Linked DNA regions of Sus scrofa. The main gene of each other region encodes a partner of the protein of the gene in region 5 in a complex. Links are inferred from orthologs where the notes say so. Each region holds a gene or a part of one and is shown on either strand. Other genes may lie near its edges.

Region 1 (2,884 bases), on a different chromosome or scaffold from region 5:
CCGGGCCACATCTGCAACCTACACCACAGCTCACAGCAGTGCTGGATCCTTAACCCACTGAGCAAGGCCAGGGATCAAATATGCGTCCTCATGGATACTAGTCAGGTTTGTTACTGCTCAGCCATAATGGGAACTCTGATTTATTCTTAAATTATGAAAACATTTCGGGAATACCTATTCTGTAGTTTATAAGGTGATGGTAATGTTGCCCACTACTTCTGTTACCTTATCCACCAGCTGAGACAGGCACACCTTCTTTTTCAGAGAGGACATGTACTCCCAGGATTCCATAGATCTCCTTGCTAACTCAGGACTCCAGTTTCAGAAGCATGAAGAGGAAGGGATTGACACGTTGCACTTTGCAGAGCTGCTTATGACATCAGGGGTGGTTCTCTGTGACAACGTCAAGTGGCTTTCATTTCACAGGTCAGTCTCCGAGGATGTTTCTCTCTTGCTTTGGAAGCAGGGAATTGCGTTATGTTATTTTTGGAGTCCTCTTGGCTCTCTTTTGTTGCTCACTAGCAGTTATAAAGTTGAAATGGTATTGGTTGCTCATATTTCAGTTTTGCAAAAAACACTTTGGGGCTCATATTGGTTTGAGTAATAGGCTCTACCACATGCCTATACAGTGGATGTACGCCAAGTGGAAAGAAGGAGGATGAGGAGGGTGGAAGCATTTGGTTGTCTTTTTCTTGTCTTTTAAATGGCTGGCCTCGAGTTTCCTAGGTACTCAAAAACCAGATTCCCCTTAGGAATAACCTTAGGAGAGGTTATTTTATCTTTCAGTACTTGTGAATTTTTGATGAATAAAGCCCACATTTATAAACCCTTCAGTTCTCTTATATGTCGTCCACATTACTCTGTTATGTTATTATTTAGTGGAACGTTTAGAGTACAGGATAAGCTACTTTGGAAAATGTAAAGTTCCTAACATGAGGCCGTATGGGAAACCGAGCAATAAAGCATTTGAACCTGGGGCCTGATGACTGCTGCGTTCACCTCATTGCCTCACTCTCTCCTTGTAGTGGCTATGACTTTGGCTACATGGTAAAGTTACTTACAGATTCTCGCCTGCCAGAAGAGGAACATGAATTCTTTCATATTCTGAACCTTTTCTTCCCATCCATTTATGATGTGAAATACCTGATGAAGAGTTGCAAAAATCTTAAGGTACATGATATTTTTTTTCCCACAATATATTTCTTAATAATAATAACAACAACAACAAGACAAAAAAAGCAGACGTGTAATTTTGCTTTATTGTGGTTTGTTCAGCATGCGTCCTTGAGTACATGCTAGGTGCCAGCACTGTACTAGACAAGGGTGTATTGGCACCCTGACTGACTGGCACCGGGATTTGTGTGTTAACTGTCTTTAACCTGGGCAGGAAGGGACCCCTCTGCTTCTCTCACCCTAAGGCAGGCATTCTTCACTAAGGGCCCATGAACCTAGTGAAACCCTTAGCGACATGAAGTATATATAACAATGATTCATAGGGATGGGGTCTACTGTGTACCAGACTCTCAGAAGGGTTCTTAGCCCTAGATGATTTAAGAACTCCCTTCCCTAATGAGAGGCTTGCTGTCTAGAATTAGACTGGCGTTTACTATTCCCTTGACCTTGTTTTGTAGCAGTGGGGATTTTCAGGGGCAGAGGTCTGACAAAATTATAGATATAGAAACAAAATTAAAGAAATAGAAAACAAAGACGGGAAAAGTGGAATAGAATACAGTGTATCCTTTGGAGCGCTAAGAAGGGGGGTACTGCTGGGGTAAGCCTGGTAAGTAAATGGCCTGTTCCTACTTCTCATCACCAAATGTAGTAAGTCAGGAGTGGACATAGTTGACTCCAGTAGAGGAGTCAAGACTGTGACACTAACTTTGTTTTCCTTACATTTCCAGGGAGGTCTTCAGGAAGTTGCCGATCAGTTGGATTTGCAGAGAATTGGGAGGCAGCACCAGGCAGGCTCAGACTCGCTGCTGACGGGAATGGCATTCTTCAGGATGAAAGAGGTGAGGCAGAGAGGCTTTGGGGGCTGAGGTTTGTTGAAAATTTATAGTTTCTCATAGAAGTTGATGACTACCTTGAAGGCAGTATTTTTTTTTTTTTTGGTTTGTTCATTATGCATATGTTCAGTACCTTAAGTGTGATTTGGGAGGAAAGAAGCATTTTGAAATGGAGGCTACTCAATACGCTCAAGGCTAGATGTATACTTGCTGTTCCTAGCAGCTCTAATCCTTGCAGTGATTTGCTTTTATTCCAATTTCTATAATATGAACACATGTCAAACCACCCACTTATTTTATGCAAAGTTCTGTTAATTATCAAATGTCCCACGGCTAACATCTCAAACTCAGTGGTGAAGAATTGAAAGCTTTTCCTTTAGGATCAGGAACAAGACAAGGATGCCCACTCACTACTTTTTATTCAACATGCTCTTAGCCGGAGCAGTTAGGCCAAAAAAAAAAAAAAAGAAAGAAAAGAAAAAGGAAATACAAGGATCCAAATCAGAAAGGAGGAAAAACTATGACTCTTTTCAGATGACATAATAATATGTATAGAAAACCCTAAAAACTCCACCAAAAAAATTGTTAGAACTAATAAATGAATCCAGTAAAATTGCAGAATACAAAATTAATGTACAAAAATCTGTTGTGTTTCTGTATCCTAATGGTGAACGGCATACTATCAGAATGAGAAATTATGAAAACAGTCCCATTTTATAGTTGCGTCAAAAAGAATAAAATAACCTTGGAATAAATTTTACCAAGGAGGTGAAAGACTTGCATACTGAAAACTCTAAGACAGTGATGAAAGAAACTGAAGAAGACACAAATAAATGGAAAGATATTCCAGGTCCATGGATTGGAAGAATTAATATTTT
Region 2 (3,516 bases), on a different chromosome or scaffold from region 5:
CCAAACTACCATTCTGTAATCCTTAAATAGAGAACTTTCTAAGGGGTATCAAGCTGTCCACAGCAAACATCTGAAAAATTAAAGATGAATGGAAACTTGGAAAAAAGCCAAAAGATAGAGAATTGGCATTTAGAAGGCAAAAATTAATGCATATCCTCCCATTTTTTATATAAAGAGGTCACATACTTCAAAAATCCAGAGTGTAATTCTTAACAAAGTATTTTCACTTCCCTTAAGTGATTTTATTAATAAGTACTCTCTTCACTCAAAATTCTGTTCCTATCTCAATCCCCAAGAGATAGGAATGCTGCTCATGAAAGAAGGAAGGTAGCAAAAGCTGAGAACTACTAACTAGAGAATAAAAAACTCCCCACTCTCAAGATCTCCTCTTCCTGTTGTTTAGCTTTCGCCACAGGTTTATATCGCCCCACATTTCCCCCACAATCGCACCTCCTTCTCCCTGTCTACCTTTAAGGACCTCTATCCGAAGCCTTCCCTAAAGAGCTCAGCTCCCACAGAGTTCTCAGACAAGTTCTTTTTTATCACCCTTTAAAGCGTAGGTATTGTTTTCTCCATGCGTTTAAAGGGAGGTATCACATCTTAAAAAAACTTTCCATTTAGTTAGGACTCAAATATTTGATGACAGATGCTACTAAGATATCTTTTAAAGGAAGATTACAAATAAATTTCTATTCAAGGTTTAGAATTATACTTCTTAACACGGAGAAAAACAAATTTTTAATACTGAAGACCATTAAGGAATATCAAGGTATAAACAAACGCTAGAAACCTTTAAATTTCTGGCAGTTGACAAGAAAGTAACTTCTTTATCTACCTAAAATACAAGTCAATATATTGCTTACTACTAGGTAAAAACAAGTTGTTTTAGAATTTAGTATTTATAAATTTCTTAAGTCCTTATCTACTAGAAATAAGACTATGAAGAAAATATTTAATGACATTTAGGAGAATGAAATCTTACATATCTTGACAATACTCAAATAGTCAAACCTAGATTCAAGACATGACCCCTGTTTTTGTTCATCTTTTATAAAAAAATTGAAAAATTTTTTTTTGGCCATGACAGGCATCCTTAAGTGGAATCTCAGTTCCCAGACCAGGGATTGAACCCAGGCTGCTGAATCCAACCATTAGACCACCAGGGAACTCCCTGTTTTTATTCATCTTAATATTCCAATGCCTAAAACAAAGTAATGCCTCAGACTATTTTTTGAATGAAAGAACTATCATACATAGTTAAAAAGAGGACAATGCTTTCCAGTTCTTTTGCATCTTCAAGACTAGGGAAGTGAAAAAAGAACTCAAAAAACATCCCTCAAATTACCAGAGACTTAAGCCTCATTTCCTGAGGTACAGACTCAAGTGAAGGAAAACAGAGAAAAAAAGATAGGTGGATATGAGTAAGTTCAATACTCCAGCTCAAAAATGACTGCTTAGTACTACGCTGAGGTTGACGGTATGAACAGTCCTTCACTAGTCTTTTATTACTGAGGCCAGTGCTGGAAATACACAGCATGCAGAAACTTTTTTTTTTTTAAATGCTAAAGTAGACCAAGTGTGAGAATATTAATACCTGCATAATTCAATGCATTTTAAAAACATAACAAAAGGCCAAATAAAATCATTCCCGAAGCACTTTTAGTCCCTGAGTTGCCAGTTTAATGTAGTTTACTTAGATAGGAAAACTCTTTCTCTTAGCTAAAAGTCTGTTTATACAAAATAGAATTTCCTTTCCAGAAATTCTCAACAACCTAATTGTATGATAAGAATTAAAAACTACCATTTATTGAGAATTTACTGTGTGTAGAGCACTTTACTAGATGCTTTAAATATGTCACTACTGATCATTAAAACAATTTAAGCTAATTCTAAGTATTTCTTCCTAATATCCTATTTAAAAAAATTAAAATCCACCACACACACCTCTAGCTTTCTCTTTATCAATTTTTTTCCATAGCATTTACCACCACCTAACAAACTAAAATATACGTTCATCATTTAAAAAACTTGTCTGTCTACTCCCACCAGAATGTGAACTCCATGAAATCAAAATTTTAGTCTATTTTGTTCATAGCTTAATTCCTAGAATATTATCATAGTGCTTGGCATATGAAGGATAACAAATAAATACTTTTAAAATGAATAAATGTTTCCATTCTAAGGCTTAGAAATGTTAAATAACCCTAGGTAACACAGATTCCAAATGGCACTGCTGGATGGAGGGATGGATCGATCGACTGATTTTGGACCCAGGCCCTCACCTCACCAAAAAATATATATTTTTCCACATACCAGTGGTATATGGTAGTTCCAAGGCTAGGGGTCAAATCGGAGCTGCAGCTGCTGGCCTACACCACAGTCACAGCCACTTGGGATCTGAGCCACATCTGCGACCTACACCACAGCTCACGGAAATGCTGGATCCTTAACCCACTGAGCAAGGCTTGGGATTGAACTGGCATCCTCATGAATACTACTTGGGCTCATTACTGCTGAGCCACGAAGGGAACTCTGGGATTGCTGAACTTAAACCAGGTCTACTTTTCCAGCCTGCCCTCTTTCGACTATGCAATACTATCTCTTTGACAGCCTAAAATGGATCCCATATCATTAAATTAACTTTTCAATTAGCTTGGAGAGTTAAGAGACTGCTATATGGCAGCCAATACTTTGTAGAACTAAGCCTGAAATTGCTGACAGAGTGACCCAAACCAAGTGTGAAGCAATCAGGAAATGGTAACACAAATGCCACTTTCAAGGCAATCTTTTTACCTATGAAATGATAACCATTTGACCCCTTCACAGAGGACTACTCCTGAAGTCATAAGAAGTTCTGCAAAGTACTGGGTTTCAATTCCTTCCTCCTCATGTTTTTTAAACTGGATACCAGATGTTGTCAGTAGCTCTATAGAGTCTTGGGCATACATGTCCTCCCTGGCAGGAGAAAAAGAAAGACAACATTCAAAAGTGTCATACTTCAAACTGATTTTCTCCCATTTACATCTAAAACTGTAATGTCAGTAACGAGAGAGAAGATTGGCGTTTAATTCCAAAGCTTTGCATATATGGAGTGAAAATACAATTTAAATATAATGGTCATTAAGTATTGTGGAAAAATGTTCATACAGTAAATAATAATCATTCAGAACAATCCAATGGTAAGATTTTAATCTATACTATCAATTTCATTAGCGGTTCACAAGTTAAATAAATTTAACTGGGTTTGGGGAAAAAAAGTGTCTTCTACTCACCAGCCATTACCACCACAAAGTAACAGACACATTCCTATCAGGGGTTTTTGGTCTCAGCAGCCACTTTAATGCTGCCAAATGGAGCCGCAGCCACAGGGGTGAGGGCCTGGGTCCAACTCCCAGGCTCTCAGCAGTACCAGGAAGAAGACCAAATGCGAAGCATCTGATGTGACTGAGTGAAACTACATTCTATCTTAAATAAAAAGGAGATGCCTCCTCTAACGATGAGCCTTTCAAATGGCCC
Region 3 (4,220 bases), on a different chromosome or scaffold from region 5:
TACTTCTCTGCTGCTACTAGCAACTGCATTAAAGCTGGAAAGATGAGGAAGCATCACAAGTTCCAAAGACACTACTCCACACACCTGCTTCTACACACAGCTCGGCTACAATTCCCACAGCGCCAAGCCCAGCGGCCCTCCCTTGCCACAGTCACCTGCTCACCGGGCCTCATCCGTCTGTCCTCCCTCCCTCTCAGGCAGAGGGGTGGCCAGACTATTCACCACCCACAGTCCACACCCCCACTTACCATTTGGTTATATTTCTAGGTACAAATCTGCTCACAATACTTAACCTATTTACAGAGAATTAAACTCAAACGTTGGCACCAGTGTAGGACTTTCGTAATCTGGTCCCAACCCACTTTCCTCATCTCATCTCCTGAACTTCTCTCCATCTGTGAGTTCCACGATTCAGGTGCACAAAATCTTTCAGCTTCCCTGATTCCTATTTCAAAACACCCAATACACCCAACTCCTTAAAAATACCTGAGAGGACCACGTGCTTCTCTCCCCACCATCAATATCCAGCAAAAACATCGCTCCCTCGTAAAGCCTCTCCAGCTGCACAGACACGAGCTCCTGGGCCTTGAGGCCCTGTGGGTGAGACATCTGGTACAGCCTTAACCACATGGGGCTACAGTTATGTCTGGTCTCAACCTGACAGAGTGCAAGGAAGCCATCCTACTTACTTCCAGGTACATTCTCAACCTTGGCTCTGCATCAGAATCATCTGAAAAACTTTCAAAACATATACTCATTAGGTGCTCCCCCTGAGGTGAAATATAATAAGCCTGCAGCAGCAGTCCCCCTGTTGGGTATTTAAGCACCATCCCTACCTAGTAATGATAATAATGGACAACACTTACCGCAGATACCCTTACCCCTCATACTAACTCTACCAGCTAAGAATTATCTGCAATTTACGGATGAGGAAAATGAGGCACAGCAGCAAAATAACCAATCCCATGAATTCCTTCCCTGGCAGATTTGTGTTTACAACACAGTCTACGGCCTAGATCTAGGTTTGGAATCATCACAATTGAGAATGACGGTTACGGTTCCTTGGCTTGACCCCAGACTACAGAATTCAAAGCGCCCAACCCAAATCCCAAACTGTCCCCCATCCATCTTGGGTGGTGGGTTTGACGAATACACACATTAAAACCACTTTCTGGGCATTCTTAAACTCCCTGAAAGTCAGGTTTAGTACCATTCCCCACCCCACCCCACAGACACCTCAAGGAATACAAAGGTTACTCCTCTTAGGTCAAGGGCAGTGCAGGAAACCAACCAGAAGATGCTTAAGATCCAGAGGAGTGGGCAGCGGGAAAAACGACCATCTTAAAATGTGGAAGCCCTCACCTGCAAGGAAATCCTCTGGTATTTACTCAAAACCGGCTGCCTTTACCTCTTGGCTCCCTATATAGCAGCCCCCTACCTAAGGAGTGATCTGCCTGTCTTACCACCGCTGAAGGACCCTACCATCAAGCTGCTTCCCACCTCTCTACCTGCCTCACCCCCTACACTGGTCCTTGACTAAGTCTTCCAGGTACCCTCACCACCATCTCTTCTGGGCCTTTCCCCTCGCCCGGTTTAGGTCTTCTCCCAAATTCAAGTCTCATAAAGCATCTCTGGAGTTTTTTTTTTTTTTTTAAAAAGGCAGCCTCCTATCAAACCCACCGATCTTCACGGAAGTTGACCGAGCATAACTTTCACATCATGTCCAACAGCCTTGGGTTTTCTAACCTAGGCCGTGAATTTGAGACTTTCTCTCCTCCGCCCCCATCGCATTACCCAAAGACCTAACAGCAAGAAGAAGGTGGCTGTGATGTCCTTAAACGCTGTTAAATGTGTTTCCGCTCAACTTCCTCAGGTTCTGAATGACTCCTAATTGACTCGTCTGAGACTAAAAGCCGGGGGCAGATCCAGTGTGTCATTACTTACAACTTCACACACCTCCGACGGGCTTGACGAGAACAAATTTTATCTGAGGCGCTAAACCATCAAGCCCCATATTACGCTGCGTGATTGGACCACCTGCATTGTTGGGAGGGATAATTTTCGGCGCCATGAAGCTGTTACTTCTTCATACTTGGTGGAAGGGGTGGGGGGTAGGGAATCTCAAAAGGCAACAATCAGTTTCAAGTGCGGGTGAAGGCCGAGAAGCTGCCAATCTCACCCTCGGCGACGCACACCTGGCCCCGGGCGTACCTGAGAGCGGCGGCCGGTCGGGTTCCTGGCCGCCGCGGGCGGGCGGCGCGGGGTTGAGCAGATGCGCGAAGCTGGCGGCGAAGGGGTTGGCGGCGAGCGGTTCGGTGCGGTACATCTCCCAGAGCAAATAGAGCGCCGTGAGGCGCTGCGCCGCGCTGGGCAGCAGGTCTGGCTGCTGCAGCAGCATGACCAGCACCGAGCCCAGGCGGAAGTGGTCGGCCTTGCTGAAGTAGTGGTGGAATGCGGTAGACAGGCCCTCGAAGGTGCTGCCGCCGCCCGCCTCCTCCGAGATAATGCTCAGCAGGCTCGAGAGTTCCTTCGGGGTCAGGCTCATCCTGCCCGCAGGGCCCCCCGGGCCTCCACTCCCCGGCCCGGGGACGCCCGCTCCGCCTCTGCCGCTGCCGGAGCCGGAGACCCCCGGGCCGCACCTGGACGCCGACCCCGCCCCTTCCCGGGTCCCTCTTTGCTCTGCGGCGGTGAAAAGCCGGCCAGACGCCGCGCTCGCCCCGCCGCCGGGCATCAACCTCACCCGCCCGCCCTGCTCCCCGGCCAGAGTGGCCCTGGCGCCGGCTCGCTCCGTCCCTGCGGCCGTAAAGCGCGCTGTTGCACGACAGCGTCGCAAACAAAACACACCGAGAAACCAGCCGGCCGCGGAAAGGGCAGCGCGGAGCCAGAGCGAGGCTGCTGGTGCCGGGCCAGGGAGAAGATCCCCAGACGCTGGGTGGGCGGGGCAAAGCGCCGGAAATGGGGGCGGGGCCTGAGGGAGGGGCCCGGCCGGGTCTCGCGCTGTGGGAGTCAAGCGGTGCCATAGCCCCCCCGCTGCGGCATAGTCTGCCTGTCCTCCTTCAAGAGTTCAGCCCCCAGGACCCCCCTGGGCAGTGCGGGAACGAACGGTCTCAATAAAGGACGGTGTTATTTGTTTGGAAAAATGCATGTTAGAATATGAAATCTTTTTTAATATAACACACATGGATGGTCATGCTAAAACTTTAAGTGCAGATAAGGATAACATGTTTCTCATAAGCAAAGTTAATTTTTAGACTTACACTCCTTTTTAAAGAAATGGAATCATACTGCACATGTACATGGCTATTTTAACAAGATCTCTGGAAACTTAACAATAAACATTTATATACAAAATTGTTGTGCAACTTTTTCTTTGGCTGCGCTGTGGCAAACAAAAATTCCCAAGCCAGGAACCAAACCTACTCCACGCCTGATCCTTAACCCACTGCACCGCGAGGGAACTCCTGCTTTGCAACTTCTTACCTAGTCTGCCCTAGGTCGCTCATTCTGGGCCTTAGCTGTGCACTGGAAGTTTCCAGGAATCCTTTACAAATCCTGGCCCTAATGGCCAGGTATGAACAAACAAAAAGCAAAAACAGAGGTCCTGTCCTGGCTCAGGGGAAACGAATCTGACTAGCATCCATTAGGATGCTGGTTCAATCCCTGGCCTCGATCCTTAATCCCTGGGTTAAGGATCCAGGGTTGCCGTGAGCTGTGGTGTAGGTCACAAATGTGGCTCGGATCTGATGTTGCTGTGGCCGTGGCATAGGCCAGCAGCTACAGCTCGGATTCGACCCCTAGCCTGGGAACCTACATACGCCACAGGTGCAGCCCTAGTAAAATTTTTAAAAAGCAAAAACATCTGCCCAGGTGACTAGTGTGCACTCCAGGCTGGGACCCACCAAGTGGCTGGTCCCAGACTTGCAAGGTTCCTCCCTAGACCTACAAAACCCTACAAGGATTTCAACTAGCAATTCCCACCAGGCCAGTTGCAGAAATCCAGTCTATGCTGAAAAAAATGATAGCAGCTCAGTGTTGTGGCGCAGCGGAAACAAATTCTACTAGGAACCATGAGGTTGCGTATTCCATCCCTGGCTTCCCTCAGGGGTTAAGGATCCAGTGTTTCTGTGAGCTGTGGTGTAGGTCACAGACGAAGTTCAGCTCCCACGTTGCTGTGGCTGTGGCTGTGGCTGTGGTGTAGGCCAGCAGCTGCAGCTCTGATT
Region 4 (4,307 bases), on a different chromosome or scaffold from region 5:
AGCATGTGGCATAGGAATGTGGCAAGATTTTATATGTAATGTTTAGGAGCTAGTCTTTATTATGTAAGAGAGACAAAGACAACACTGATAAGTTATCTGGCAATTAATATGGTTAGATTTATGCATGCTCATAGCTGGAATAAATCAGTGTAAATGAGAGGAAGATAAGAAAATTCTAAACAAAAACTGATGTTACATTCCCTTGGCAGAAGCTTTACAATTCTTACAAAAAAGAATGAACTATAAACCATTCATATAATTAAATTAACTTGTCTGAACTATTTAGTTCAGACTAACATACCAGTCTATATACACAAATAAACTTCAACTACTCTACTCAAACGCAAAAAACTTAACTGGGCTTAAACGTACAGTAAGAAATAAAAAACATGAAATAGATAATGGTAGAAAAATTAATACTTTAACCAACATCCATTTGAAGTCACCAGCTCTTAGCAGGAAGCTGAGGGAATGCACCTTCCCAAATTAATTCTGAAGTCTTTAATCAGGTCCATAATGAAATAAGAACTGGAAAAATATTATTCTTATTAACTCCGGAATATTAGCCTATACTATCAGAATGTTTAAATATCACTATAAGACATCAAGCACCCTCCAAAAACAAAAGGCCTCAAACGTAAAATGAGTATACACGGATACAAAGAAATTCTACTTTATTCATGAGAAACAACAAAATTCCTCCAAAATGAAATCTTTAAAAACCCAAATCATTTCATCTCTGCATATACAAATCCTACTTCTAACAATATAAATATTAGAAATTTATCTAATATTCCTTTAAATTTCCCATATGCTGTTAATATGTTCATAATTATCAGACAGCAAATTATATTCCTATACATTCACTTTTCAGAGGAGGCTTTTAAAAATAAAATAATTTTACAATGGAAATTTAAAGAACAGTTTTCAGGAATATTTCAACATGCATAACTACATAACACAAAAAAGAAAAGGAAAAATATTTTCAGGTAGAAAAACCCTAACCAAGAATGAATGCATTTTCAGGTAAGCTCAAAAACACTTGGATTATTTATAAATAATGTGACTGAAATAGTGTGATTCCAAATAATTTTTTTAGAGTAGAATGAACAGAAATTAGGAAATCTCTTCATGTGTAAAATATCTCATTTTATTCCTTTCTAATGTGTAAAATTTGGAATTCTCTATTATTAGATTCTGTAGTCAATTAACCATACCATATGATCATAAAAAAGTTCTATACTTACATTTTATTAACTGGATTATAAACACTTAAAAGCCACATAATGCACAATCACAATTTCTTAAAGTAATTTAGCAGATTCTATCAAAAGACATAATAGCCCAAGCAGTGTAACCAATTAAAATCTTATGAGTCAAGGTAGATGGAAGCGGTTTTGAGGCAGGAGCTACAAGTAATGAGCAAAGGCCACGTCACTTGAGCCAATAAAAACAACTCAGAACAGAAAAGGTTACAGAGAGAACTGATTCTATATAGTCATAGCTTACTCTGATTTATTAAAATTATAAAAATCTGGTGAGAAACTTCAGACATCAAATTAGGTCAAATTCTACAAAGGTTAAATATGACAGTATTTTGTATTAGGACAGAGCCCAAACCAGAACCTAAGTATTATGCTCAAAGGTTCTTTACTATTTCACCATTTACAATTTTCTTCACTGTTCACTCTTCCAATCTGAGGGAAGAAAAGACTAATTGTGCCAAAATAAATAATTAAAAGACAAATGGTTAGTTAACAAAAGCATCTACTATCAGACTAGTTGCCTTCACAGCCTAGAGGGAATAAAACTGGTAAGTGGAAGAGGGAGAGGTTAGATAGGTACCTGTGCAGGAAGTCTGAAGCTTACCCCTACTTGAGCTATGAACTATTCTGTATTCTGAATCACTACATAATTTGATATTAAATTATTGTCAAATGAATAAAGCCAAATGTCTTTGAAAAAACTAAATTCAAATATTATGGGTTTTGAAATCACTATTTAATAGCACTATCTTTAAAATTCACCTTCTTTTATAAGCTGAGAAAGAAACAAAAATATTACACTTCAACCATCGTATTAGCATCCTTACATACTTCATAGGGAATGGATTTATAAACTAACTTAATAAATGAGAAATTATGAGAACAGCAAGCCAATGACAATTCAATAGAATCTGGGTCTCTGAACACCCTGAATTTTCATTTCTATTTCTTCTAAATGCTAACCAATTTTGTCTACATTTCTGTAACGCTCTAGTACCCTCAATATAATCTAAGACTTCAGTTTTAGTCTTCCAGGAATCATACGTGTAAAAGCAATCAATATTTTATTTTATGAAATACTAGGTCTGAATCCAGCCACAAAGTCAAAAATTGTGCATCAGATAATCTAAGTTTTGACATATATACACACACAGGAGAAAATTTATGTTCTGACACTAAAAGAATACACATTTCTTATAAGTATGCTTTATTATGAAAAATGTTCCAAACTATTTCAACTATTAAGCCATATATATACATATATCATTTAAAAAATTATAACCCACATTTTTCAGGTTGAGGTCTATCCAATCTGCTGGTTCCTAAATACAACATATTAAACAGTTCAATGTAATTACGTGACCAACAGAAGAAAGCAAAATAAAATTGATCTTACCTGGTAGTTTCTTTTCTCAGATAATGTATGTCCATCAGTCCTCACCATAGAGTCGTGTCCTTTCCTCACAGTACTGGAGGCAATCAAATAGAACTGTCACTCAAGGGTCGTGTCACAGGAAGGACCGCCCACCAGTTCTCCCTCTAGAGTGGAATTATCCAAAAGCCATCAAAATTACTAACATGTAAAATATATGAACAGTACCAAAAATACCAATATGATACAAAGAAAACAAAACCAAAACTTTTTTTTTTTAATGTCCTAACTGATCTTCCTCTTAACCATCAAAGAAGGGCTAGACTGCCAGACATACTTTGTTTGACACAGAAATTATTAAGCATGAAAAACTTTTCCCTCCCACTTCTACTCTCTCCTATTAAAACTGTTCGCCACATACCTCACACATAGGAAGAAACTTATAGTGAATAAAAATGGAGTGGACAAAAAAGTTAAGCCCTTAATCGACATTACCTTTTTTAAATAAACAATTTGTTAGTATTAGAAATACCCAATTAATTCAGATTCAGTCATTTAATTTCAAATCCCCCTTCATTCAGTTTATGGAGTTTATTCTTATGCCATAAGATGGGAATACATCATATAATCTTAGGATGATTAACAGGTGCAAACCTAAGTCAATATTCTATTAAAATTTACTCCAATGAAGAGTAATAACAACTGTCAACTTTCTAGATTCCTAGGTCCTTCAATTCTCCAATTTTTTGCATGCTTTAATAGAGTTTTCTTTTTTACATTAGGGCAGAAACATAATGAAGCTTATTTCTTAACCTGGTCAGAGAAATAAATCCAAAATGACTAGGCACTGTATTCCTCAGGCATCAAAAGATCACCGAAACAGAGGTAATAGTTGCTAGAGATGCTAACTCAAAAATATAAACTGAAAATGAAAGATCAAAAATTCAAAAGTGGTACCTACAAAAAATTTCTAAATATTTTCAAGACAAATGTCACTCTCCTAACTTTTAGTAAAATGTTTACCCGAATGAAGGAGTATATAGTATATACACCTAGTGAATTAACAATAGTTGCTAACTCCTAAAAATTATAATCGAATTTAGAGCAATTATTTAACATCAGACAAAATTCACTTTGGGAGAGGAAAATAAAAACATCTAATTTAAATTCATAAGAAGTGCAAATCATTTTTATTAAGATCAACACACAAATACATATACAAATATATTACCTCTAAAAAGCAATCTAGTAAGAAGGCAAAAAATTTTTCAAGGAAAACAAAACTTTAAAAATTAGTGTTATTAGATTTAAGTTTTTAAAAGAATTAATGTAATAAGGAGTTCCCACTAAGGAACAGTGGGTTAAAGGATCTGGCACTGACGCAGCTGTGACTTGGATTCACTCTCCTGGCCCAAGGACCTCCATGTGCAGTCACTAAAAAAAATATCATGTAATGAAAACCTACACTCCACCTCTTGTTTTATGTTTCACCACAAACAGTGGGTACTATCTACTTTTACTTCATCTGACCATCTTACGCTGTATATGATTGGCTGAAATTCTTCAAAGATGCCAGTCTCTATGGCAAAAATGTAATTGTGTATTACCAAATTTATATGTACTATTGCAATTAGATGTCTCTCTCAAAAGTAACAAGGGAGAATGGTTTT
Region 5 (3,516 bases):
TATCTGTAAAGCTTTTGATTTCTCCCTCTAATCTGAATGAGAGCCTTTTTGGATAAAGTAATCTTGGTTGGAGGTTTTTCCTTTCCTCATATTAAGTGTATTGTGCCACTCCCTTCTGGGTCTGCAGAGTTTCTTCTGAAAAATCTGATAACCTTATCGGCATTCCTTTGTGTATTATTTGTTTTTTTTCCCCTAGCTGGTTTCAATATTTTCTTCATCTTTAATTTTGGTCAGTTTGATTAATATGTGTCTCAGGGTGTTCCTCCATGTGTTTATTTTATATGGTACTCTGGGCTTCCTGGATTTGAGTGAGTGGTTCCTTTCCCATGCTAGGGAAATTTTCAGCTATTATCTCTTTGAATATTTTGTCCCTTTCTCTCTCTCTTCTCCTTCTGGCACCTCTATACTATGGATGTTGATGCATTTAACATTGTCCCAGAATTCTCTTAGACTATCTTCATTTCTTTTCATTTTCCTCTTTTCTGTTCCACATCAGTGATTTCCACTAGTCTGTCCTCCACCTCACTTATTCATCTTCTGCCTCCTGTATTCTGCTGTTGGTGGCTTCTAATGAATTTTTTATTTTAGTTATTGTATTTTGCATCTCTGCTTACTTAAGTTTTAAATCTTGTATTTGTTTGGTCACTGTTTGCTGTAAATTAACATTCTTTGCCTCTAGTTTATTTCCAATATCTTGCATCATCTTCAGCATCAACAGTTTAAAGTCTTTTTCCAGGCGGCTGAGAATCTCCAGATCACTTTGCTGTTTTTCTGGGTTTTTTTTTTTTTCCCTTGCTCCCTTATCTGAGTTATAGTTCTCTGCCTTTTCATTTTTATAGGTTTTTGGTGTGGTCTCTTTTGTACAGACAGAAGTGTTGTCGCCTCTCTTACTTCTGATGTCTTCCCCCCTTGTTGCTGAAGTTGGTAAGGGGCCTTTCTCTTGAGTCATTCTTGAATTGCTTTTTTTCCTCAGAATTACCTCAAACCCTGTGTGAATAAAATACAGCATAGATCACAGATATTCAGCCCCGTGTACTCTTCACCACCAAACATATTTCCTTTATCACCCCAAACTTCACATTGATGGATCTTAAGAACTTTCTTAGAGTAATTGTGGAAAGTGCTGGGTTATTTATCATATCCCATTTTACACTTTCATTAACTTTATTGGAACTTACTTGTATTTTGTAGACTTCTGAACAAGAAACTAAAGGTCTTCCGAGTAAAAAAGGAATTGTGCAGTCTATTGTTGGTCAAGGCTATCATCGTAAAATAGTTCTGGCATCACAGTCCATACAAAATACTGTATATAAGTAAGTATTTTGCCAAGAGAAAGTATATATATTTACTGCTATTTCATAATAATGTTATTTATTAAAATATGCTCAGGAATTATTTCATTGGACAAGCCACTTTGTAGCTAGGTTTTATTGCTACTTCAAGAAATAGACCTTTACGGAATTCCTGTCATGGCACAGTGGAAACGAATCCGACTAGGAACCATGAGGTTGCGGGTTCAATCCCTGGCCTCGGTCAGTGGGTTAAAGATCCGGCATTGCCATGAGCTGTGGTGTAGGTCGCAGACACGGCTCTGATTTGGCATTGCTGTGGCTCTGGCATAGGCTGGCAGCTATAGCTTTGATTAGATCCCTAGCCTGGGAACCTCCATATGCTGCAGGTGCAGCCCTAAACGGACCAACCCCCCTCCCCCCAAAAAAAAACCCAAACAAAAAATAGACCTCTGGGAGTTCCCATCATGGCTCAGCAGAAATGAATCTGACTAGTATCCATGAGGGCACAGGTTCAATCCCTGGCCTTACTCAGTGGGTTAAGGATCTGGCATTCATGAGCTGTGGCATAGGTCACAGACAAGGCTTGGATCCTGCATTGCTGCGGCTGTGGTGTAGGCCAGCGGCTACACCGCCAATTCGACTCCAGTTCGAACCTCCATATGCCACAGGTGCAGCCTAAAAAGATTAAAAAAAGAAGTAGACCTGTATACATAGGTCTGTAGTGAATGTTATTTGACATATGGTTTTGGTTTGTTATGTCCTTGGGTGCTGACATTGTTGATGCCGAGTCTGTTCAGTGCTATTATTCAGAATGTCCAGAAGAGGGCGTCTTGATGTTTCCTTTTTATATAGTTTGTCATTGGTACTTCTCATTTATTTTCTCATAGTCCCTAAAGCTAATTAACACATATATCCACAAAAATAATATAAGGTTTTCACATGTAGAACAACTTTTCAGTTGAATAACTTTTAAATGTGAGCATCCTTCTAAAAAGATTCCAATTTGGGGTTGCTATTAATTCTAAAGTAGTAGGCTTTGTCAAAAAAAAAAAAAGTCACTCCTTTTTTTTCTTTTCCAAAAAATAAAATTGTTCACTACCATTTAAAAGTTTTTCCCAAAAGTTTTTAAAAGTATGTGGCATACAACATTTTGCTCTTAATTTATTTCAACAATAATGAAGATTTCTTTCTTTCTTTTCTTTTTCTTTCTTTTATAGTCACATGTTTGGCACATGGAAGTTCCTGGAGCTAGGGGTCAAATCTGAGCCTCAGTTGGGAGCCTACAACACAGCCACAGCAACTCAGGATCCCAGCTGTATCTTGGACCTATTCCGAAGCCTGTGGCAACACAGGATCCTTAACCCACTGAGCAAAGCCAGGGATCAAACCCACATACTTGTGGATACTAGTCAGGTATCCACAACAGGAACTCTCAGATTTCTTTTGAAAGACAAGTTAAAGCATTGGTTTCCTACAATTTCAAAACTGTTACTACTTTTCACTTTTCTTCCTTCTAGTAAAGCTGGCTCAGTTTATTATATAAAACCAATAGAAAGTTATATAAAATCTCAACAAAGTAATAAGATATAACACTGCTTTTTCAAAACGTGTAAATGAGGCATTTTCAAAAGCAAGTATCAACCAAAACAAGGCTCAAATGTAAAAAATCTACTTTCTTCCTTTCTTTCCGGTTCTTATTGTACCTGTCCTGGCCTTCATTCAGTTTTCCTTGTCTCTAAATCCTTTTTTAGATTGACACTGACATTGCAGATTTCCTTCAGGTTGTCTCCTAGCCTTGGTCCTGTTCCTTTAGACACAGTGTGGTGTGTAATGTATATACTTGAAATTTTATTTATACTTTTTGCATCTTATATACAGACAAACCTCCTTTTATTGCACTTTGCAGATGTTGCATTTTTGGTTTTCTTGTTTTTCTTTTTACAAACTGAAGGTTTTTGTGGCAGCCCTGAGTAGAGCACGTCTGTTGGTGCCATTTTACTGACAGCAATTGCTAACTTTGGGTTCTGTGTCACTCACTGGTCATTCTTGCAATATTTCAATTTTTTCATTATTATTTTTTCATGATCGCACCTGCTGCACATGGATTTTCCCAGGCGAGGGGTTGAATTCAAGCTGCAGCTACAACCCACTGCATTGAGCCAGGGGTTGAACCCAAGCCTCCACAGCAGTCCAAGCCTCTGCAATCAGATTCTTTTTTTTTTTT

Evidence for each region.
Region 1: CNOT10 (region 5) and CNOT8 share a complex: the UniProt entries of both Homo sapiens proteins name them as parts of the CCR4-NOT complex. The link is inferred for Sus scrofa from reciprocal best matches to the Homo sapiens genes CNOT10 and CNOT8.
Region 2: CNOT10 (region 5) and CNOT7 share a complex: the UniProt entries of both Homo sapiens proteins name them as parts of the CCR4-NOT complex. The link is inferred for Sus scrofa from reciprocal best matches to the Homo sapiens genes CNOT10 and CNOT7.
Region 3: CNOT10 (region 5) and CNOT11 share a complex: the UniProt entries of both Homo sapiens proteins name them as parts of the CCR4-NOT complex. The link is inferred for Sus scrofa from reciprocal best matches to the Homo sapiens genes CNOT10 and CNOT11.
Region 4: CNOT10 (region 5) and CNOT2 share a complex: the UniProt entries of both Homo sapiens proteins name them as parts of the CCR4-NOT complex. The link is inferred for Sus scrofa from reciprocal best matches to the Homo sapiens genes CNOT10 and CNOT2.

Annotation. Positions count from the first base shown.
Region 1 is NC_010458.4:68,332,137-68,335,020, reverse strand, and holds part of CNOT8 (CCR4-NOT transcription complex subunit 8), read left to right. Parts: intron 1-264; coding exon 265-426; intron 427-1,025; coding exon 1,026-1,170; intron 1,171-1,901; coding exon 1,902-2,012; intron 2,013-2,884. UniProt on the Homo sapiens protein: Has 3'-5' poly(A) exoribonuclease activity for synthetic poly(A) RNA substrate. Its function seems to be partially redundant with that of CNOT7.
Region 2 is NC_010459.5:4,940,079-4,943,594, forward strand, and holds part of CNOT7 (CCR4-NOT transcription complex subunit 7), read right to left. Parts: intron 2,956-3,516; coding exon 2,794-2,955; intron 1-2,793. UniProt on the Homo sapiens protein: Has 3'-5' poly(A) exoribonuclease activity for synthetic poly(A) RNA substrate. Its function seems to be partially redundant with that of CNOT8.
Region 3 is NC_010445.4:53,078,512-53,082,731, forward strand, and holds the start of CNOT11 (CCR4-NOT transcription complex subunit 11), read right to left. Parts: upstream 2,805-4,220; 5' UTR 2,732-2,804; coding exon 2,212-2,731; intron 1-2,211. UniProt on the Homo sapiens protein: Component of the CCR4-NOT complex which is one of the major cellular mRNA deadenylases and is linked to various cellular processes including bulk mRNA degradation, miRNA-mediated repression, translational repression during translational initiation and general transcription regulation.
Region 4 is NC_010447.5:34,469,408-34,473,714, reverse strand, and holds the start of CNOT2 (CCR4-NOT transcription complex subunit 2), read right to left. Parts: upstream 2,805-4,307; 5' UTR 2,710-2,804; coding exon 2,662-2,709; intron 1-2,661. UniProt on the Homo sapiens protein: Component of the CCR4-NOT complex which is one of the major cellular mRNA deadenylases and is linked to various cellular processes including bulk mRNA degradation, miRNA-mediated repression, translational repression during translational initiation and general transcription regulation.
Region 5 is NC_010455.5:18,695,937-18,699,452, forward strand, and holds part of CNOT10 (CCR4-NOT transcription complex subunit 10), read left to right. Parts: intron 1-1,191; coding exon 1,192-1,313; intron 1,314-3,516. UniProt on the Homo sapiens protein: Component of the CCR4-NOT complex which is one of the major cellular mRNA deadenylases and is linked to various cellular processes including bulk mRNA degradation, miRNA-mediated repression, translational repression during translational initiation and general transcription regulation.